Linked DNA regions of Rhinolophus ferrumequinum. The protein of the gene in region 2 interacts with the protein of the main gene of each other region in a pairwise test. Links are inferred from orthologs where the notes say so. Each region holds a gene or a part of one and is shown on either strand. Other genes may lie near its edges. The genes, in order: SLC15A4, GLP1R and CD81.

Region 1 (7,191 bases), on a different chromosome or scaffold from region 2:
CACGTTATATTGAGAGTCAGCACTTTGTTCCTGTTTATTGCATAATATTCCACTGTGTAGATGGCCCACTTTTGCTTTATCCGTGGATCAGCTGCTGGACATCTCCTTAATTTTCACTAAAAAAAACTTTAAACTGATAGAAAAGTTGAAAGAATAATTAAGAAATACACCCCCGTATCACTCACTCACATCCTTAGTTCTTCGTCTGTATCTTTGAAATACTTTTTTAGGCTGAACTTTTTAAAAATAAGTTGCAGCATCATATTTCACCCCGGAGATTTCGTCATGAATCCCCTAAAAACAAGGCCATCCTTCTACACGACCACAATGCCATTATGACACCTGAGAAACTTCACATCAACACAAGTGTGTCTAATATGTTGTCAATATTCACTTATCCCAACTGTCTGAAACAAATGCCTTAAAAAACCTGTGGGACCTCCTCACGAGCACGCGCTGCTTCTGGCTGCCCGGCCTCTAACACTGCCGCGTCTGCCGTGCTCCTGGTTTCCCCGAGTGTCAGACGTGGAGAGATTAGGCCACTTATCTTGTAGAAGAGAACACATTTCTTTTTAATGTCCACATTTAACGACGCCTCAAAAGAGGGCATATTCTGTCACGTGTTGTAGAGAACCCCTATAAGACCATTTGTTCTTTAAGCAATTACATTCATTTCGCATCTGTCATCTCCCGGAGAACACGACCTTTTAAGTCATCACGCCTGGGTCCAAACCCAGCCACCCCACTCACCAGCTGTGTGCCCTGGGTGGGTGAAACCCTCGAAGCCCGTTGCCTATAAGACAGAACAACTGTAGCATATAAATTGTTGGGGGCTTAGTAGGACCATGTAGGAGGAGCACTCAGAGCAGGAAAGGGCCTAAGACTCATGTCACCCTTCAACCCTGTGGCCTGGCCATTAAAGATGGACAACTGTGCTCCCAGCAGGTGGCCTCTGCTGTGGTCTGTGAGCTGATGGCACCTCAAGGCCAAAGCCACACGCCCCGGCCTTGACACCCGGCCCCCCGCCTTTCTTTTGCTCCCTCACAGAACACACATGTCCCGCTTATCTTGGTGCAATGGCTAAAGTGTGGACTAAGAAATCGGACCTGGACTAAACCCCTGGCTTGATCACTCACTGCCCACAGGACAACAGCAATGACCAATCCCTGCTTCGTGCCTGGTTCCTGGTCTGAAGAATGGGTGTAAGAAGATCCATGTGAGGTTCAAATGAGATCAAGTGTGTAAAGCACATTCCATGGTGCAGGGAATGAAGAACTCGGTACACCAGGCAACTATTACTTCCAACGTCACTACAAGGTGTCGCCTTACTGTGCTGGATAGCCTTATACAGGTATTGGTAAAGCTCAGATCCCAAAGACCAGGCTCTCCAATGCTGGCCCAGTCATGCACTAGCTGTGTAGCTTGGAGCAAATGACTTCACATCTCAAAGCTCCATTTCCTCATCTGTAAAATAGGCACAGTACGAGCAGTGGCGTCGTGTGGACTAATAAAGTACTTAGCACACAGAAAGCCCGCAGTGAATGTACGCAACTACATGGCTACTTAACAGAAAACCTAGGAGTTGTCTTTCCTCTCGCTCACTCGACCTCCATAACTCATCCCAAATCCACACACATCGATCCACGCCCACGGCCCCACTCTCTTTCATCTGGCAAATGTAACACACTCCTACCTGGCGTCCTGCTGCCACCACTTCCCATTCAACCTAGGTTCTCCACCGTACGTCCGTGCTCGTCGTCTGACCAGCAGGGCCTACATATTTTAGGTTTTGAGAGACGTTCAGTCTCTGTCCCAACTACTCCATTCTGCTCCTCTACTGTGAAAACAGCCATTGCGCTGCCGAGAAGCAAACAGAAACGAGTGGGGCACCCTCTGTTTCAATAAAATTTTCTTTGTGGAGACCGAAATTTGAATTTCATAGAGTTTTCACTTGTCACAAAACATTCTTGTTTTTCTCCTTCCATTTAAAAACCCAAGACGCATTCCTATTCTTAGCTCCAAAAACAGGAAGTAGCCCAGATTTGCCTGGCAGGCCACAGCTGCCACGCCTTGGGCAACAGCAGTTGAATCTTTTACAAACATAAATCAGATCATATTACTCCCCTGCTGAAAATCCACAAAGGCTCCGTACTGTATGCAAAGCAGACGTCCAACTCTTTATCAAGCCTCCCAGGACCTGGCCCCTGCCTACCACCTCTCTTCCCACTTTAAAAAACACAGCGTCTGACCTCGTGTAAGTTTAAGGCGGACAAATGTTGATTTGATACATTTCTGGATCGCAACACCACTGCTACCGTAGCCACACCACCACCAAGGATTTCCTCTCTTCCCGGGCCCAGCCGCCTTGTCTGGGAAGCTCCCTTGATACTACTGTCCAGGTGACCCCTCAAATGGCTCCTTTGCAAAAAGGAGGTGCCTCTATTGGCAGCCATCTATCCGTATGCCCCGTCCCCACGGCCCCCTCCCCAGGGCTTATCCCAACGGGTCCTCGGAGCCTGTGGACGTCCGCGTCCCGCACCCCGCGCGCTCACCTGGTCGGCGCCGAAGGGCGTGATGTTGGCCTTGACCGCGCCCACGCCCAGGCCCACGATCGCCAGCGCACTCAGCGTGGCGGGCGCGCAGTAGCGGGTGGGCGCGTCGGCGCAGGGCGGCGCCGAGCAGTTGCGGAGGCGCGTGGGGTGCGGGGCCCCGCAGAGCGCGGCGCGCGTGGCGGGCGCGGCCAGCAGCGGGAAGGCCAGCATGCCGAGCAGGTAGAGCGCCAGGCTGAGCAGGATGGCGCGCGCGCGGCCGAGCAGCGCGTCGGCCAGCCAGCCGCCGAACGGCGACACCAGGTAGGTGAGGCCCATGAAGAGCAGCAGCGCCTGGCTGGCCTGCGCGCCCTCCCAGCCGAACGGCGCGCCGTTCAGGAACAGCACCAGGTTGGCGGTGACGCCGTAGAAGGCGGCGCGCTCCAGCAGCTCGGTGAGCAGCACCGCGGCGCACGCCGCGCGCCGGCCCGCGAACGCCGCCCGCCGCGCGCCCAGCAGCGGCGCCCGCTCCCCCGCGCGCCCGCCCGCGCCCTCCATGCGCCCGCCCGCCCGCCGCTGCCGCCGCTCTGCCGGCCCGGGCCGCCGCCCTCGTCGCCAGACCGGCCCGCCGCCGCCTCGGCCCGCCCCCCGAGCGTCCCCATTGGGCGGGCGCGCCCCCGCGGGAACTTCCGGGGTCACCGGGAAGCCCGCCCCGGTGGCGGCCGCGCTTCCGCCGTGGGTGGGGCCGCGGGGCGAGGCGTTCCCGCGGGCACGGTCCATGAGGCTTTCAAGTGTTTGCCGGGCGCCCCGAGGTGCCAGCCCCGCCGCTGCAAAGCCGGCCCGCGCTGAGGCTGACGCCTGCGTGGCTGGGCGGGCCCCGCGCCCGCCGCCTGGCCCCCGGCCGCCCGTACTGCGGCAGGCGCTTGTCTGGGGTGTGGGCCGCCCTGCGCACAGGAGGACGGTTAGTCGCCGCCCTCCCCTCTGCTCTCCACTGGATGCCGGTTCCACCCCAGTGCCCCAGCTGTGACAACTGAAAATTCCTCCAAATGGCCCCTGGGCCGCAGAATCACCCCCATTGAGAAACCACTGCCCTAGAATGAGCCAAGCTCAGAGCCCGGCTCCTTGTCACGTGGTTGGCATCCTGTCTTCCTCCAGTTCTCAACTCCAGGGTCATTTCTTAGAAGCGTTTCTTGACCAGCCCATGCAAAGTCGACCCCACCCCCATCCTGTTTTAGTTTCCCCATCGTATTTGTCTGTTTTATTGTTTATTCTTTTGTCTCCCCAGCTTGTCCGTGGTCCCCATGGTGCAAGCTCCATGGTGGCAGCGTTCTTCTGTTTCTTGTTCCTCACCGTGCCCCCGGTACCTACAACAGTGCCTGGCCCATGGAGTGGGACAGAGTGTCCTCCAAAACCGGCCCCCAGCATGTCTTCAGAAATGGGGAAGCATGGCTGCAATGATTCAACTAGTGTGACATTGTTTCCTCTTCCTCCATCCTTAACTCCAGCGAAGAAAAGGAAGGAGCCATCACCTGGGAAGGCGGCTTGCCAGTGGGTCATCAGGGTAGGTGGTCCTTCTGAAGACACTTAAGTAGCAAGTATTAACATTTTTACCTTCCTAAATGTCTGACACCTAGACTAATGCCTGGTGTGCTGGCACACAGCAGGCCGTAGGTGAATATTTAATGAGAGCACCAGGAAGCCAGAACAGGACCTTCCCCACACGATCCAGCAGTGCTAGCCAGCTTAATTATCAGCCTGTATCACTTTCCCGATCGTCCCCGATGAGATCAGATCCCCTCCTTGTATGTCATTACAGCACCCTATACTTCTTTTTTTACACAGCACCCATTATAATTTATAATTACTTATTTTGTGAAACTGACAGCTATCTTCCAAGCTGGAGGGCTGACTTCGTTTATTTTGTCCTCACTATATTCCTAGAATCGAGCGCAGTAGCCACCAATGATAAATACGTGTGGAATTAACTGCATAAATGAATGAATATTTGTTGAATTGTAAATGGTGCTGAAAGAACCTCTCTAGTCACCTGATTTTTTTTTTTTTTTTGACATTCCCATGATGTCTACAGCGTATATTTGTAGCCTCATTTCACTAACGGGAAAAGCAAACCCCTAAAGATCCCTCTGCAGGATCACACATAGTAGGAGGCGTTGGAATCAGGCTTAAAGAAAAGGCTTGTAACTAGGTAATTCCTAGCCCAGTGCTTCTTCCACCCTTCAGCCAGTAGACGAGGCAGGACCTCTGAGTGTTTGACCCAAGACGGACAGGACTGACACTCAGGCAGAGTCCAGAATAACATGAACATTAGACGTGGGATGAAAAGCCGTTTGGCGTGGCTCGTGCGATGGCGTGGTGTTGAACCTTTGCCCGTTATAGATGTGCCATTTTGGAGGACAGCAAACCACCTCAATTGGATTGTTTCAGTGAAGAAGCATAAAGCTGAGAGAAAAGGGGGGAGGGAGGCAGTTACAGAGTTCAGGTTGACACTGAGGAATTCGGACTGCTTGTTTCTGACCCGTGGGAGGGGTCTTGGGCACTGCCATCTCTCATGCCTTGAGATTGCAAAACAAATCCAGCAGGCAGAAATGTTTTGGTTTGGCTGCAGTGTTAAAAAAAAAAAAAAAAAAAAAAAAGCCAAGACCACGTACTGCAAGATTCCATTTCTATGAACTGTCCAGAATCGGCAAACCTGTACCGACAGAGTGCAGATGGCGGTGTGATTGCCAGGTGCGGGGGGATGGGAAGATTGGGGAATGGCTGCTAAAGGGTCCGTGGTTCCTTTTTGTGGTGATGGAAATATTCTAAAATTAATTGTGCTGATAGTTGCACAACTCGGTGAATGTACTAAAAATCATCAAATTGAACACTAGATGGATTGAACTATATGGCGTGTGAATTATGTCTCAATAAAGCTGTTGCCCCCAAAAATGTGAGGTAACAGTTAAAAATTGGAAGGTTTCACATACAAATTTGGATGCCCTGCTGCTAGTAAAAACCTGAGAACTCTGGCAACTTTGGGACTTGTGGTCACCTGTTACTCTAGTGACAGCACCCTATCCCTGCTCGAACCACGCCTCTCGTGTTTGTTCTTATATATTCTGCACAGGTCACAGTCTTACAAGGCTGGGCCTATGACCTGCTTGGCAAAGAGACCCTGCAGAAGTATCCCTGGGCCAGGTCTGGGCCTAAACCTTAAGAAGGTCTGGCAGCTCTCACTTCTGTGCCTATAAGAGTCCAGAATGCCATGTAAGAAGTCCAGCTACCTTGCTGGAGAGGTCACATGATGAGGGACAGGCAGCAGTGACCTGGTAGAGTGGGGGGATCCCATTGCCCCAGCACCCCAGGCCACCTGCCAGCTGAATGAAGCCACACAAATCATGACCAGCAAGACCAAAAGAAAAACTGCTCTGCCGAGCCTCAACCCCGATAGCAGAACTGAACAAACAAGATAGTTGTTATTATAAACTAGTAAGTACTGGGGAGGTTTGTACCCGGCATCAGATAGTGGAAACACAGCTGACTTCCCTCACAGCCGTTGTCTGCTGACGGCCGGTAATAGCCACTGTCTTTAATGAGGCATGCACTTTCTAGCTTACTGAAATCCTCCCCTCTCTGTTGTTTTGTTTTTCTCACGGTAGAGAAATTATCCTCTGTGTCTGCACTGTCCAGTGCAGTGTTTGAACTTAGATTAGTTCCAATTCCATAAAATGAAACTGCTTTCCCTCAGTCTCACCAGCCACATTTCTAGTGCTCAGTAGCCACACGTGACAAGCGACGCCCATGTTGGCCATCACTCTACCCCTGCAGAAAGACCTGTCTGACACCGCTGCTCCGCGCCCACGTGAAAGGGCCCGATCACTCACTTGTCCGACACGCACACCCTCTTTGTCCTTCCAAACAGAATCCTGATTCCACTCAGGTGTTTACTTGTCCCCATCCCATTCCGCTCCCCACCAGCTACCCATCTAGCCTGGAAGAAACTAACTTCATTGTTTCTGGATCTGGCTAGTTGAAACCAATGCTGGTCTCTCCTGCTCTTCAGGAACCCAGATGCTAGCCACCGGGGATATGAAAATCTCTTAGGGCCCAGGAGAAGACAGGTGACATAAATTGGCCCAGCAAGGCTGAAGGAAAGAACCCTTATTCCATGACTGCGAGACAGACACACTTTTCCAAACTGGGCGTGAAGTAGGAATTCCGTGGCCCCAATTGCTGCCGGCAGCTATCTCACAACCCTGAGAAGAACAGGTTTAGGATGAAGCCAGCTTTGTGGGTAGCACAGTTGAGAATCAAGGAAAAGTCAGATAATAAAAGATAACAAATCTTACATTGTTTAAGCTACTGTGTTGGATTTTCTGTTACCTGTAGCCAAAGCCACTTACTGTGATTCGATCAGGAAGTGGGAACATTAAAGGTAGAGCAAGGGAGGGCAACCTGATTTTTGTTTTCTCGGACCCGGCCCAATTTGCTCTTAGAGTTCTCTGCCTGGCCCCCTGTGATCGGGGGTTGTCAGCCCTTGTACTAAGCCCCAGTGATTGTATAGCTAAAGACTTGGTGGAAGTGGCCTCTCCCCACGTTGTTGGGTATACTTGTCCTGAAAACAACTGTGTGAGTCTCTCCTGTGCAGCTAAACTAGTCAGAT
Region 2 (7,971 bases):
AAATGGTATTGCGTCCATTCAAATCTCTGTTCTTACAGAGCTTCTTGCCCTCTCTTCTAGGGCCACTTGTCTTAGTCCATTTGGGCTACTACAACAAAATGCTATAGACTTGGTGGCTTATAAACAACAAACACGCATTTCTTATAGTTCTGGAGTCTGGAAGTCCAAGATCATAACACCAGCAGATTTGGTGTCTGGTGAGAGCCCACTTCCTGGTTCATTGATGGCCATGTTTCCTCTGTCCTCACATGGTGGAAGGGACGCAGGAGCTCTCTGGGGTCTCCTTTATAAGGGCACTAATCCCATTCACGAGGGCTCTGCTCTCATGACCTAATCACCTCCCAAAGGACCCACCTACTAATACCATCACATTGGGGGGTTAGGATTTCGACATATGAATTTGGGGACTGGGGGACACAAACATTCAGACTATAGCAGGGCCTGAGCGAGAGGCCCTGATAACCGTGTGGGGAGAGGAGAGGACCGTACTCCCCAGTATATAATCTGTTCTCTCTCCCAGCACATCCTCCTTTTGATAAGTTTTTGAGCGCCTACTATGTGCCAGACACTTCAGTGGATATTTGGATTGACACATTTCCATGAGGGCAAACATCACTGAGCACCTGCTATGGGCCAGGGCCTGTGCCGACACTGGATATCCAGCGACGAAGATGGAAACATCCTTCCCTCAAGGAGCCCACAATCTAATGAGGGAAAGTCATAACGAGATAGTGACAGAACACAGTAAGAACTTCAATTTATTCCATCTGTTGTTTTGAACAAGAGTCATTGAACACCTAGTATGTATGTGCCAAGCATGGCACTAGGTACTGTGGGTATAGAGGTGAGTAAAACAAGATCCCTACTCAGGGAAACCGAGGAATTAACCAGCATTCAAGAGGGTTCCAAAGTGTCCAGATGGCGGTAAGCACAAGGGACCAGGGCCCTGCAAAATTGGGGTGGGGTGCAATCATGGAAAACTTCCAGGTGGGGGTGACCCCTCCACGGAGGCTCTGAGGGTGGGTAGGATTCGGGGTACCCTGAGGGAGAACCATGTTTCGGGGAGACTTCCAGGGCTGTCACTGCTGACTAAAGCATCTGTGCTGCCCAAAGGGGCACTGAGAAGCAGGGATAAGAGAAGTTTTCTTAGACAGGCAGCTGCCTGAGCTGGCTCCTAAAGCATGAGCAGGAGCTCAGGCAGGCAGGGTGGGTGAGGACACTTCAGACAGAAAGTACCACGTGTGCAAAGAGATGGGAGAATTACTTGCAAGAGGTCCAGTTGGGAGGTAAGTGGGGAGCAGATCTAAGGAGACTCCTTAGATGCTAAGGAGTTTGGAGGAATTTGGAGGATTAGGGAAACAATCGCTAGGCTCAGGGACAAGGTCAGATAAGGGTTGGAGAAAACGATCCTCTAGGAGACTGGATAAGGGGGGAGCGAGAGCAGCTGTTTGCAAAACAGAACCAGACCTTGGACCTACTCTGAAGCTTACTTACCTTACAAGTTGGGGGAATAATACTGACAAATGCCTGATACCCAAGCTCCCAGCAGCTGCAGGGCACATCCACGGAAGCACCAGTCATGGCAGGCGCCCGGTATCACCCGTCATACTGGAGACAGAACCAGGAAGTGTCTGTGAACACTGGGCACTTACGAGGCACCGACCTGTGCCAGTGCTGAAATACAGCATGCTGGCCCTCCTGGAGCCTCGGTTACAATCCACATTGGCACATATGAGATAAGGGGCAGCCTCAGAGCAAACTCAGAGGCTTTGGACCCCCAGGTGTTAAAAAGAGAAGTTAAATAATCTGCCACCCAACTGCCTCTGGGCTCAGGGGCCCGGCTCCCATCCCTGGATACTCTCATATGCCCACTGTCTTCAGCTGGGCTCTCCCAGAAACAGACCCTGAGATGAGGATTTCAGACGAGTAGTTTACTTTTATTTGGGAGGTGTCCTCAGGAAGCACTAGTCCCCTACTGTTAGAAAGTGAGACCGGCCAGGGAAGGAAGCCAACACTGGGTGCATTATGGGGCAGGTTAGCACTGCGGGAAGCTGAGGCTCCACCCCTCTGGGACCTCTGGGAGACTGTGGTACACACGTGAGTTGTCCAGTCCAAGTGGTGAGGAACTGGGGTATTTATCCATCGACTCATGTCCGTTCACGCTTGAGAACTGCTCCTAGGGGTGCCTGCCCTGCACTGGCTGAACACAAAAGTCTCCTCCCAGTCACAGAAAGCCCCTGCCCTGCAGAGAGAAAGTGGTCTTTTAAGTGCGGAGGGCACGACTTGTACAGCATCTGCTTATCCCAGCAGTGCTAATTCTGAGTGTAATTGTAATCTAAATGGCTCCAAAAAACACTTATTTAATGTCTTTCTCCTGCATTAGAAAGGAATCTCCCTGAAGATAGATGCTGTGGCACCACGTAGCACCACTCTACCCCTGAGGGCTTAGTTCAGTGTCTGGCACATGGCAGGTATTCCATAGATACGTGCTTATGGATTAAATGTAATTTGGAGGTTGATAAGTTCATAGTAAAGGCAGAGTTCTGTGTACTTTCTCTAGCCCCTTAGCTTCCGCTCTTCTCTCCTCTCCCCATACCCTAACCCTGGTATCAGAGAGCCTGCAAGTTGTTTCCCAACATCTATCTATCTATCTATCTATCTATCTATCTATCTATCTATCTATCTATCTATCTATCTATCTATTATCATCTATCTATAATCTATCTATCAATCCATCTATCTATCTAGATATATACACTTGACCCTTGAACACACAGGTTTGAACTACACAGGTCAAACCTGTGTAGTTTATACACAGAATTTTTTCAATAAATATACAGTCGACCCTACATATCTCCAGGTTTCGAATTTGCAGATTCAACCAACAGCAGACCAAAGACAGTATTTTTCTTTCTTTCTTTCTTTATCTTGTTCCTTTGTTCCTTTCAGTTTTATACCCCACATATCAGTGAAATCATATGGTTCTCAACTTTTCTCATCTGACTATTACAGAATTGTACACTTGAAACCTGTGTAACTTTACTAACCATTGTCACCCCGATAAATTTTAATTTAAAAAAAAGAAAAAGAAAACAGTATTTTTCTATCCTCGGTTGCGAATCCACAGATGCGGAGGGCCAACTATACCCATTGGTCTATCTATATCAGTTTATAGAAGACACTTGAGCATGCATGGATTTTAGTAACTGTGGCAGGTCCTGGAACCAATCCCCTGTGGATACCGAGGGATGACTGGAGTTAAGTGTTTGGTGAGTCAAAAGTTATTTATACGTGGATTTGCAACAGCGTGGGTCAGTACCCCTAACCCCAGCGTTGTTCGAGGCTCAGCCGCGTTAGCCTTCCTCTAGAGTAATAAAAGCCCTAATAAACTTTGCCAGAGACCGCTTAGAATAAAAGTCACGTTCCCCAGCCTCCTTTGGAGCTAAGAGTACCATGTATCTAGTTCTGCCCGGTGGGCGAAACTGACAACTGCATTTTCCAGGATGTGCCTTATGGGTGGAGGTACACCCATGTTCGCCCCTTTCCTCCTTGCTGGCTGGAATGTGGACATCATGGTCAGAGCTGGCGCAGCCACCATGGATCATCACGTGGAAGGGAGCCTTGCACCATGAGAATGGTGGAAGCTACAAGAGCCTGGGACCCTGGGGATCAGGCAGCCACTGCTCCAACCTGAGCTGAACCTCTGGCCTAGCTGTACATGACACAGCCCTTGGTTATGCCATTGTTGTTTGGGCTTTTCTGTCAGGTGCAGATGAACAAACTAATCCTAAATGACACACAGAGGTGACTGTCAAACTGACTTCTGGGAAGAGGAGGGAATAAATGACTCCAGGGTCGTGGAGACAGAGCTGGCTGGGGAGGAAGACCCCTCTTGCTGAACGGGAGTCCCTGGCTCATGCCACGAGCTGTCTCCCACCTCTTCTCCTTCCCAGCCCCTTCTCCCTGACAGCGCCAGCCTCCTCTGGGCTTTGAAAAGTTCTGTTCTTTCCGAGGAACAGCTACTCCAACAGATTCCCTCTCCCTTTGGAATGCTCCAGACATGCCCCATGGCAGGTCCAGGGCTGAGGGCTGCTGCCGCCCCTGTTCCCCACAGTGACATCAAAGTTCTTTGTGGGGTGTGGAAGGTAATCCCTCTTTCCCAACCCCAGTCCTCACAGGCACTACTAGGTAACAAAGTCAGTGCCTCCTTATCTTCTTAGCACGCTCTCCCACAGCCTGCTGCGTTTGGGGGTGGGGGTGGACACAAAAGCAGGTAAAATAGGAGGAGACAAAGACACAGGAGTCACAGGGAAGTCATGGGCACATGTTATCGCACCGACACAGGATTCTCAGAGCCCAGTGATTCAGAGCAGGGGCCGTGGGGGCTGCAGAAGTGGGAGAAGCACTCCCCACCATCAGGGCTCCATCCATCCATTTGTTGTCTCCCCTCTCCTTCCCCAACCTTGGTTGTCCCAGGGCTGCCTGCGGGACAGAGCTCGGGAATAAAGAGAGGTCTTGGAAAACGGTTAAGTACCCAGCTAGTCTTTCTAGTCACTCGCAGTTCTTAGCGTGACACTTTCTGGGAAGGGTCTGAGGGACGGTGTGACCTTGGACCAGTCCCTTGGCCTCCTCCAGCTTAAGTTTCCTTGGGCGTACCCTGAGTACGTGTGGGGCGGTTTGGCTTTCCTTAGCTGGAGGCACCTGGGAGGCAGTGCGGGGGTGGGGGGCGCAGGGCCGGGCAGCAGCCGGCCGGGACAGGCTGAGCAGCGCCACGGGGACGGCAGGGAGGCTTTCGCGGGCCGGGGCTGAAGGCCGGGGACCCCGCCTGGCCCCTCCCGCGGGCGGGGCGGCCCCGCGCCGGCTCCTCCCCCGCGCCCGCCGCTGGCCGCCCGCCCGGGATTAGTCGTCGCGCGCGGTTCCGCAGGTGGCAGCGATGGTTCAGTCCTGAGCGCCCCGCCATGGCCGGCGCCCCCGGGCCGCTCCGCCTGGCGCTGCTGCTGCTCGGGGCGGTGGGCAGGGCCGGCCCCCGCCCTCAGGTGAGGCCGTGGAGCCCGGGGAAGGGGGGAGGCGGGAGCGCAGCGGGCGGCGGGTCCGGGCTGGGGCGGCGGGACTTGAGCGAAACTCCGCGACCGCAGGCAGACGGACCCCAAGCTTCGAGGGGAGTAGGGACTGGGGAGTTGGCGTTCTGGGCTGGGTGACCGAGGTGGCTTGGCCGGCGGGCGGCTCTCCCATCCCGGGCGCGGCACCCTCTTCCTGTGACCGGGGCCCCCCTGCCAGGGCGCCAGCTGCCCCGCGGCCGCCTGGAGCTGACTTCTGTGCCGCGGCTCCCCAGACACTTTCCCAACTCCTTCTCCTCGGAAACCCGTGCCGGCCGCCCTGCCCCGGCCCAGGCTCGCCCCCTTCCTGACCTCAACGTCTCCCACTGCGCCTTGACCCTGCCCCGCAGTGCCTCCCCGCAGCCTGCCCGCTCGCTGGTCAAAGACCCTGAGACGGCTCTGGGGGACAGAGAGAGCCGGGGGTGGACACCCAGCTCCATTACCCACTCACCAGCCCCCCGGCACAGCCTTTAACTCATAGCCCCAGGGACCCTGCGGTGGCAGCTTGTTGTCCTTCCTTGTGACCTCCCAGATGGAACTCGAGTGCCACCCCACCCCACCCCCCAGCCCCTGCGGCAAACACGCCGCTGGAGGCTCCTGCTCCTCTGGAAGCAGCCAGGCCCCCCTCACACTGGCCTGAGCCCTCCTTCTGAGCCCCCCTGATGGACAACACACCAGAGCACGTACTGAGACACACAGACACCTTGGCCTTCTCCATGTCCCTGGAGAGCAGGCCACAGGGTGGACCCCAAAGCCCTTGTCCTTGGCCTTCACTGTCCTCCCTCCTCCAAGCTCCGGGGCTGGGGGCCATCCATGGTCAGCCTGCTTTTGGACAGGGAAGTTGTGCAAAGCTGCTGTGAGATGCTCGAGCAGAGAGGAGGCACAGGCTTGGGTGGCCTGCCTTGTGTCAGGGAACTGGCTTTTCCATTGCCTCCCATCCCTACCCTCAGACCTAAAACACCGAGAGCTTTGGGGAGTGGACCTATACAGGCTTTGAGATGTGTCCCAGCACAGGTGGGAGGCAGGGTGAGGGGCCATGGCCTTGGCAGAGGCTGACTCTGCCCCTTAAGAATCCAAATGTGGACGGATGTAACTCCCAGCTAAGGCGCCAGGCCATTTTCGGTCCCCAAATTCTTTTCCAGATTTCTTTCCTCTCCCTGTACCCCAGGACAGCCGCAGGAGACACCCTCCCTCCCATAGCACCTTCCCCCAACCCCTCAGCCAGGCTTTGGCTTCCCAGTGCACTTGGGATATTTCGGGAGCCAGGACTGCAGACCCATTACCTGCTTCTCTCTCACCTTTACTCCTCCTCTAGGCTGGGCTGGGCTGGGGGTCCCATCCTGTTCCAGGTCAAGTTTAAAAACCGGTTTGGATTAAGGGAAGAGGAGTGGTCCTGGGGGCTGCCTGTCTTCTCCTCTTTTACCCAGAGGAGTCGGGCTCCTTGAACCTGCCATGTCTTCTCATCCCCTCATTTCTCAGCCCTGGGCCAAGGGCAAAAGCCAAATATCCTGAGGTCATAACAGGTGGGGCGGAGGCGGAGCAGAGAAGGGCAGGATGAGCTGGTCTCTGAGCAGAGAGGAGGGAGCTTTGGGGCATGCTCTCCTCGGGGACCCTGCGCATCCCCAGGCATCCCCAGCCCCCGTGGAGATCTGAGCGACGCGGCCTTGGAGGTTAGACTGCAATAATTATGACACAACCTCATGCCCGTGTGTAAGACTCTGAAAATGGCAAATCTCACATTCTATTTTCTGTTCATGAGATTGGTAAGACTCCCCTCCCCCTTGCGTGTCACTGATGGGGGGACAAAAGCTCAGAAAAGAAGGATTTTCTGTGTAAAGTGACCCAGCGGTTTCGAGAGGAACAAGGGGTGCAGGGCTGGGCTGGTGCCTAATTCCAGCCTACCCCAGCGGGACTGAAGGAAGAGCACAGAGTGAGCTGTCCTCTGTCAGGTCTGGCCAGGCTGGAAGCAGCTTCCTGCAGGCAGGGCGATGGCTGATTGAGCTCCAAAGAAGCAGACCTGGGCCACTTTCTTGCTGCTGGAAAGGACCAGCCACCCTCTACCCCCATTCCTTCTCCCAGACCCCTTTGACGGAGCTGTTCTACTGAGGAGACAGGCAGGCCTTTGACACCCAAAATTAGAACGAGACAAACCTGAATTCAACTATCGGGTCTGTTGTTAGCTGGACGCTTGACCGTCCAAACCGCAGTTTTGTCATCCAGAAATAGGTGTCACCAGCTCGACCGTACAGGGCTATGGAGAGGACTGAGACACTGGCGCCCTGAGACAGCAGCTTCAGTCGCTTGGGGGAACTGACTTGTTTGTCCTGAGGAATCTGAAAGCCTTCTCCAGGACAGCAGAGTAGGGCTGTGGGGACTGGCCTCTGCACTCCAGTGAAGGGTGGAGGGAGTCCAGGATGCACAGTGGTCAGTGAGGACAGGGACTGCCGGTGGGTGCAGGGGCAGGAGCAAGCAGGACGTCACACCCTGCTCTCCAGTGCGTTAGCTGTGGCCTGCCTCTAGGCAGATTTCCGTGTGTGTGTGTGTTAGAGAGATACAGAGATACAGTAACAGACAGGTAGAGAGAGATAGAAAGAGAGAGACCAAGGGGTGAGGGGTGTGGGCTCTATGAGCCTGTTTCTCTGTGTAGTTGTATGTAATCCTGTGTGTGGCAGTCTGCCTGTGTGTGTCACTGTGTGTGAAACATCTCGGCATATAATTGTCTGTGACAGTGTATGTGTGTTTATGACCCTATGTATGACGCTGTACCTATGGGAAGGTCTGTGTGTGTGTGAGAGAGAGAAACAGTGTGTGACTGGGTGTCTTCCAGTATGTGTCCGTGTGTGGGTGAGAGAGGTGCTTGTGACAGAATGAGTGG
Region 3 (7,591 bases), on a different chromosome or scaffold from region 2:
CAATGCTTCTAATCAGCCTCGTTCCCAGCCGGGTCTGGCCACCCTGCCTCTGGAAGGCAGCCACCAACTGCATTAGGCGGACGGGCAGCCAGTCCCAGGCAAGGAACGCTCTGCTCCTCTCCCCGCAAGGACCAGTGGCTCCCTGGCCAGCCCCCCAGAAGTGGGTTCTTATCATGCCCATTTCCCAGGTGAGGGCAGCAGGGCTCATGCAGGCCAGCCGCCTGCCCCAGGTCACCAAGTCCAGTGCGGTGAGCAGGGATCTGAGCCTGTGCCCTTCCTCATCTGCTCCAGTACCGTACCGGCCCCCTCTGCCAGGAAGCCCCCTGTCCCACCCCGATGGGCAGGGGTCCCATGCTGCCTGGCTCCGGCTCCCAACCTGATACCTGGCTGGCTGGGGAGCCCCAGGGTCTCAGCACCGGCAGGGCAGGAGAGCAAGTGTGCAGGGTGACCCAGCTCCTTCCTGGAGAAGCACGCCAGGCCACCTTCAGGCCTGCTCCCACGTGCTTGGGGCCTTTGCCTTTCTACTTACTCCCCAAGAAGGAATTTTACAAAGTTTCTGGGTCCACATACCCATTGTCACCCTCTTCTCCCGGCTCCCACCCTTGGCAGCCACTCCTGCACTGTGACTGGGGTGCCCAGCTAGCAAGTCAGGTTGGGCACTGGGAGCCCCACGTAGGGGCCTGAAACCCTTCCCCAAGGCACTGCCTCCACCGGGACCACGCTGAGCAGGCTTCCTGCTGGCCACCTGGCCCAACATCCATTTCCTGAGTTCAGCCCCTACCTGTGAGCCAATCGACCAGCAACGCCAGGAGATAGGATTCGGAGGACCCCACTTTAGAGGGGAAGAAGCTGGGGGCTAGGACCAGAGCAGTGGGAGGGAAACTTTGCCCAAGCCCAACCCCACTGCACCAGGCTCAGCCTGGTGATGGAGCGGGGTGCAGAGAGGGGCTCCTGCAGGGTGTGCCCCCAGCCCCACAAGGCTCAGCTCTGCATTCCCTCACCAGAGGGGGTGAACCGGCATGGGTGGGTGGGGCCACGGTGACTGGACCATGGAGACCTACGGTGCAGACACAGTTCTCAGTGCTCAGCTGGAAGTGGGAGGGAGGGGACAGGCCTCGGAAACATTTCCCTAAGTCTCAATAAAGAACAGCCCCAAGGGACGTGTGGAGCCTCCACCCCAGCTGCTTGGGAAACTACCAGACTGGCCCAGCTGCCAGCTCCAGGGGGCCTGATCTGCAGACCTCCCCAGCTGGGCAGGTGGGAGGGACTTACAGCCCAGACACCAGGCCCAAAGACAAAGAATCTACTCCTGGAGAAGTCCCCTTCCTGTGCCTACCCTCTACCGCCCTGCCAGGGTCCTCGCCCCCATATCCAGGCTCAGCAGAGGGGCATCTGGGTGCCCCATTGACCCCTATGTTTGCCTGGCCAAAGCCGGCAAACACTAAATCCAGGACGACACCACCCCTCAAAGGCCCTAGTGGCTGCCTGGGGCCAGGCTTGGCCCACCCCCAAGGCAGAGGCCAGTGGCCTCCAGGGGTCCCCTAGGTCGATGTGACACCGCACTCTACCCCCAGCTAGAGTTCAGTCCAGTCTCTGTCTTCTCGACCCCAAATCCCTTGCTGCCCGAGAACCGCTCTGGGTCCTGGCTGTCCAGATGGGAAGCATATGTTCCCACCCCACATACTCGGGGTGAGCAGCCAGGCGTGGCAGCAGCATGGAGGAGCCTGGGAGGGGTCCCAGTCACTGCCCAGGGAGGAGGGCACGGCCATCATGAGAGGGGCTCCTTCCACCGCCTCTCCGGTCCCAACACTGACAGGAAATGGAAACAAAAGCAAAACTCCATCAGTCACTGACCAGCAGTTTACACCCAAGTCAGGAAAATCCCAAAAGGACTATCCTGTGGGTGCTTCTTTCCACAGTGGAAGTCCCAGGCCAGCCCCTGGCCCCCAGAGCTCAGGGACACCCAGGTCTTCAGGCCCCTGCCCTGTGCCAACTGGAAGGGACTGCCCCATCCCCACTCTCCAGGCCTCCACCACCTTGGGGGCCAGGCCTGGCTGGAATCTCGGTCTGGGTGAGAAGGGCAGGGGGATCTGGCCCCACACACGGGGGCCACCACGGTGCAGGCACGCCAGCACACAGGCCACACCCGGCCCAGTGTGCTTCCTGTCTGCTCACCCCAGTCCAAGACCCCAAGAACGGTCCCAGGGTGACGACAGCTGACTGGGGGGTGAGCTGGGCTGGGCCAATAGTGGGGTGGCCAGTACCCAAGACTCGGACGGCGTGTGCACCCCCAACCTGGCCGCCCATGCAGGGGCGGTGGCCTGGATGAGCTCATGGGGGCGGGACGCCCTGAGACCCGCCCTCAAGCCCCCCCCCCCCAGTCCCCGCGAGGCAGGGTGGTCCCAGGAACAGCATCCAGGGGGCTGAGCAGCCCCAGTACGCGGCCCGGAGCCCGCATCTACCCCACCTATCACCATCACCAGGCGGGAACAGACCTGAGGCCCCCAAACGCCCCGGCCCGGCCGCGGGGACCCGGGCCCTGACGCCCACAGGCCCCCAAACCCGGCTCGCAGCCCCCCGCCCCGCCGTCAGGGGTCGCGACGCTCCCAGACGACCCCCACTGCCCTGGCCTGCCGGCCCAAGACCCCCAACCCCGCGCCCAGCGCGCACAGGTGGCCCCACAACTTGGCGGCCCGGCCGTGCCCCCTCGGCGGGGCCTAGCGGGGCGCGCGGCCCGCGGCTCTGCTCTGGGGCGCCCCCGCCCCGCCCCCCCCGGCCGGGGCTCACCCAGAAGACGAAATTGAAGACGAAGAGCAGGTACTTGATGCACTTGGTGCAGCCCTCCACCCCCATGGCGGCGCGGGCGGCGGGCGGCCTGTGTGGCGCGGGCCGGTCCTGGGCAGAGGGGCGCGGGGCCTGGGGACCTGGTGAGCGGCCGGGGGCTGAGACGGCGGCCGACGGGCGCGGAGGCAGCGGGCGCGCGGGGACGAGTGGCGCGGGAGGCCGGACTGGGATACGTGAGGCCGGAGCCGCCGCTGCGCGCTCGCTGTCGGTCCGGGCGCGCGCCCCGCTCCGCCACTTATATGGCGTCCAGACACCGCCCCCCCGTTTGCTCCGCCCCCGTCTGCTCCGTCCCCGGCCCCGCGGCCCCGGAGGCAACCCCTCCCCCTCGCACGCACACTTAGAGGACTTGGTGTCCCCAGGACCCCAGACCCAGACGCGTTGTGCTGGGCGCAGCGACAGGACCGCGGCGAGGATGCCCAGGGAAGAACCTCTCCCTTTCTCCCACAATTCTTCTTCAGGCACCTTGTACCTACCCAAGAAGGCTTCCTGGAAGAGGTGATGCGCCAGCAAAGGCTACGTAAGCCAAGATAGCAGCGCCCTTTATTCGCATCGCTCCCGGGAATGGGAACCTGGGTGGGCGATGAGGCCTGAGAGTAAGCGGACCTCGACCTGAAGATCCTGGAATGCAATTCTAGGCATCCAAACCCTTTTGTCCCGTGGTCCGGGGAGTCGCTGACCACTCTTAGAAGAATCTGTTTCGAAAGGTGTACCCTAGGCCACTGCTAACTGTCTAGGAAGCCCAAGCCACCTGTAGGAGAACCTCCAAATGTCTTGTACGTATTTCGTGCATGTGTCAGTGGTGCCAGGTCGCCCAGATGCTGCTGTCTTCCTGAAGTGAGGGTGGTCCCACTGCCCTCACTGCCCGGGGTAATGAGGAGGTAGACAGGTGACTCCTCAAGTGAGGGATGCTTTCTCCCCAGGTGACAGAGCAAGTCTGCAGCAAAGTGACAAGCAGATGAAGCCATGGAAATGCCCACTGCCACAAATGACTACTGCCCACTTGAAACGTGGCCAGTGCCCCCGCCGAGAACTGAGGTTTTCATTGTAGTAAATTTGGATGGCCGCGGGTAGGCAAAGGCGGCCACATTACAGAGGAGCCCTGTCGTATTCATCTGTGCTCAGCTGTCGTGTTCTTGGTGGTTAATTTTAAATTTTGTTTTGGCTTCACGCGTGTATGAGAGCTCCAAGCACACGTTTACACCTAGTGTTGTTTATGCACGTCCAAGTGACATAATAAAAGTAACTGAAGTCTTCTTCCTTTGAGGGTCTGCCAGGGTTGTTTTTGTTGAAAAGGAGGCAGGACAGTGTTGGTGTAAGGAAATGCCTGCCCTGATGTCCTGGGGGTCCTGCGCTCCCCACAGCTCCCCGCTGTCCAGTTACAGGTCAACTGCCAAAGAAGTGGGGTGAATCCTCAGAGAACGGCCTTCCCTGGGCCCCGTGGGGGGAGCAGGAGGACACTGAGCCCACCCTCAGGGAGCAGGGCAGAAGCATGCCCACTGCGCTGCGTCGCTGGCCAGCCCTCCCCAGAGCAGGTCACACCTGGCTAGCCTGGTCTGTGCTTTGCTTCAGTCATGTGGCAGATGTTTAGTGGTGCCTGTTACCTGCCAGCTGCAATTCCAGGCACTGACTGTGGGAGCTGACCAGCCAGGACCCCTTCCCTCAAGGACTGTTGGCCTGTGACAGATGCTGCCTCACGATGATCATGTCTCATGTTGACTGGGGAGGGAGGAAATTTCCAGGAGGCTTGAAAGAGTCATGGAGTGGGGGGTGGGGAGGGCAGGGGCGGGGCACTCCTCTCCTTGCGGGTTTGGAGGATCCACAATGAGTCCTGGCCCTAGAGAGTGGGAAAGAGCCAGCTCTGCCCTCCAGGCAGATGGGAGACTGGTAGGAGGAGCAGAAAGGATGCTAGTAGGGCGGGAGCAGAAGGAGGGAAAGAGGGCCACACCCAAGGAGGTCAGGGCCAAGGGTGAGGTGGCTGGCTCTCCGGCCTGAAGGCCAGTGTGAGGTCTCCTTCAATCCTGACTGTCGTGGGAGCCATTGGCGGGTTTCTGCAGGGGCACCACAGGCATGACTTCTGACCTGAATGGGGACATATGTGGGAGCAGACTGCCTTAGCCCCACAGTGGGACCTGCATTCACAGGGAAAATGGGCCTCGAGGGTCGGGACCACCTCCAGGGGCTGGTACCTGTGGGCTGTCCGCAGGGACCACTTCTGAAGTGCCAGGGGCCACCAACTGACCTTGTGAGGACTGAAGGGGACCAGTGCATTAACCGGGGTTTTCCAGAGAAACAGAATCAGTAGGAGGTGTGTGTGTGTGTGTGTGTGTGTGTGTGATGTACTATAGATTATAAAGGAGATTATTACAAACCAGCTCGTGTGATTATGGAGTCTGGGAGGTCCCAGGACCTGCCATCTGCAAGGAGACCCAAGACAGCGGGGCGTTTAGTTTCAGTCCAGATGTCAAGAGCAGGGAGCTGATGGTGTAAATCCCAGACCGAAGGCTGGAGATGAGAGGAGAGGTCCCAGCTCATGGGATGAGGCAGGAAAAAGGGGAGAGTCCCCCCTTCCTCTGCCTTTGGTTCTACTCAGGCCTCAGTGGGCTGGATAAGCCCTCCAATTGGGAGGGCCACTGCCTCACTGAGTCCACCTGTTCAAATGCTAATCTTACCTGGAGACACCCCCGGGTATTCCCAGAAATAATATTCCATCTGGGCACCCTGTGGCCAGTCACGTTAACAAACACACAACACTGAACATCACAGTAGCAATGACATGTGTGGCAGTGTGATCTGGGGCAGGTGGGCCTCAGGGACTGCGTCCTGGGAAAGATCCCCAGAGCCCCACTGTGGGCTGGATGGCCCACAGCCTGGAGCTTCCATCCAGGCTCTGAGACACACAGACCCAGAAGGGCTGCGTCAGAGAACGATGGAGAGAGGGGAGAGGCTTGCCTGCGCCAGGCCTGGCGTGGGAGACCCCTCCCTGTGCCTGCCCCGCCCACCAGCCCATGGGCGGGGCTGAGGTCCTGAGGACAGGCGGGGCAAAGAGTGGGCCTTGCTGCCCCGGTGTGTTCAGCTCCGAGTCTCTTTCCCTCCGTGTGACTTCTGGCTGGTTCCTCAGTTTCCCCATATGCAGTGGTGCCATGGAATGTGAGGCGGTGAGAGGAGCAGCATGCTGGAGGCCACTGCCTCCTTTAAGCTTGTTGGGCAGACAGACTTCACTGCCAAGCCCAACTCCAAGGACGGGTGACTCACTGCTCTTCTGGGACATGCTTTCTGTTCAGGGGGAATCACTGAACCCCGCCCTGTGCCTTGATTTCCTGTGGAAGTAAACCGAGACCACCCAGATGAATGGAACAGAGGCTGTTTATGCAGAGAATGCTGCAAAGGGGATTCAGCCACCCTCACTGCACTTGGCTGAGACTCAAAGGCAGGCCCTGAGGGGAACAGCTTCCTACTTACAAAAGGAAGACTTTACCATCCGAAAAACAATCCATGCACCGCACCACATTGATGGAGTCAAGGACAGGATCATCTCCACAGTTGCAGGAAAAGCATTTGACCAAACCCAGCACTCTATCCTGATGAAAACACTCGACACCTCAGGAATGGAAGGGTTCCTTGAACGTCTCATAAAGGGCACCTTCAAAAACGCCGCTGGCTGATAGCATTACCAAGTGCAAGACTGGAAGCATTTCCCCTAAGGGGAGGAACAAGACGAGGACAGCCACTCTCCGTCGCTGGAGGCTGTGGCCAGGGCACGTAGGCAAGATGAAGACAGAAAAAGGCATCTGTACTGGACAGGGAAGCAGAGGACGTGACATAGTGCATAGAAACCGCGAAGAAATACACCCAAAACCTACTGAAACTAATAGACACCTGCAGCAATTGGCAGGTGACAGGATCAAGGTACGAAAATCAATTTTATATCTATACACGAGCAATGGACAGTCCACACATGGAATAAAGAAGACAATCCCATTTGTAATAAATAGCAGCAAACAGAACAAAGTATCTGGGAATAAATTCAGCCAATTTATTATAAGACTTGGACACTGGGAACTACAAAACATTGTCAAAGGACCGAAGGCAGGTCTAAGTCAATGCAAAGGTTCCTGGGGTTCACAGATCAGAAGACTCAGTCTTGCCACAATACCAGTGCTCCCCAAATTGACCGACGGCTCCACACAACCCCTATGACAGTCCCCATTGGCTTTACCAGGCTCACCCTAAGTACTATACGATTACAAGGGCCCCGGGACACCCAAAACAGTCGTGAAAAAGGAGAATAAATTTGTTGGGTTCACACTTCCCGGTTCAAACTTCCTGCAAAGCTACGGTGATCAGAACCATGTGGAAACCAAATGCATAGAATCGAGAGCCCGGAAATCGATCCTCACCGTCCGGGACCCTCCATTCCGTGTCGTCCCCATCAGGCATCGGTCCATATAATGGAGCTACGCCTACGAGACAGTCTCTTCTCTGGCCCTGAGCCTCGTTCGAGGCGTGAATGCCGCCTCGGGCCCCCCTCATTACATGACATAACCGGCTCAGTCATCCCTTCCCCTCAGCTGCTACTCCTCCCCCCCTCCATCTACACCCAGACACTTCCACCTGCGGGATGACATCAAGTTTGAAAGCGCCTTTACCGTTCTAACTTGGGAACCAGCCTTCCTTCTGGCACTGGAACTTACAGCCCTTGCCTTGTGATCACTGCAAAGGGGGATGGGGGAATGGAGGTGATGTGGGA

What was found.
Region 1: the proteins of GLP1R (region 2) and SLC15A4 interact in a protein complementation assay, tested with the Homo sapiens proteins (2 studies listed by BioGRID). The link is inferred for Rhinolophus ferrumequinum from reciprocal best matches to the Homo sapiens genes GLP1R and SLC15A4.
Region 3: the proteins of GLP1R (region 2) and CD81 interact in a protein complementation assay, tested with the Homo sapiens proteins (2 studies listed by BioGRID). The link is inferred for Rhinolophus ferrumequinum from reciprocal best matches to the Homo sapiens genes GLP1R and CD81.

What each region holds. Positions count from the first base shown.
Region 1 is NC_046308.1:2,063,119-2,070,309, reverse strand, and holds the start of SLC15A4 (solute carrier family 15 member 4), read right to left. Parts: upstream 3,087-7,191; coding exon 2,553-3,086; intron 1-2,552. UniProt on the Homo sapiens protein: Proton-coupled amino-acid transporter that mediates the transmembrane transport of L-histidine and some di- and tripeptides from inside the lysosome to the cytosol, and plays a key role in innate immune response.
Region 2 is NC_046286.1:8,927,704-8,935,674, forward strand, and holds the start of GLP1R (glucagon-like peptide 1 receptor), read left to right. Parts: upstream 1-4,904; 5' UTR 4,905-4,958; coding exon 4,959-5,036; intron 5,037-7,971.
Region 3 is NC_046294.1:1,566,008-1,573,598, reverse strand, and holds the start of CD81 (CD81 antigen), read right to left. Parts: upstream 3,049-7,591; 5' UTR 2,854-3,048; coding exon 2,788-2,853; intron 1-2,787. UniProt on the Homo sapiens protein: Structural component of specialized membrane microdomains known as tetraspanin-enriched microdomains (TERMs), which act as platforms for receptor clustering and signaling.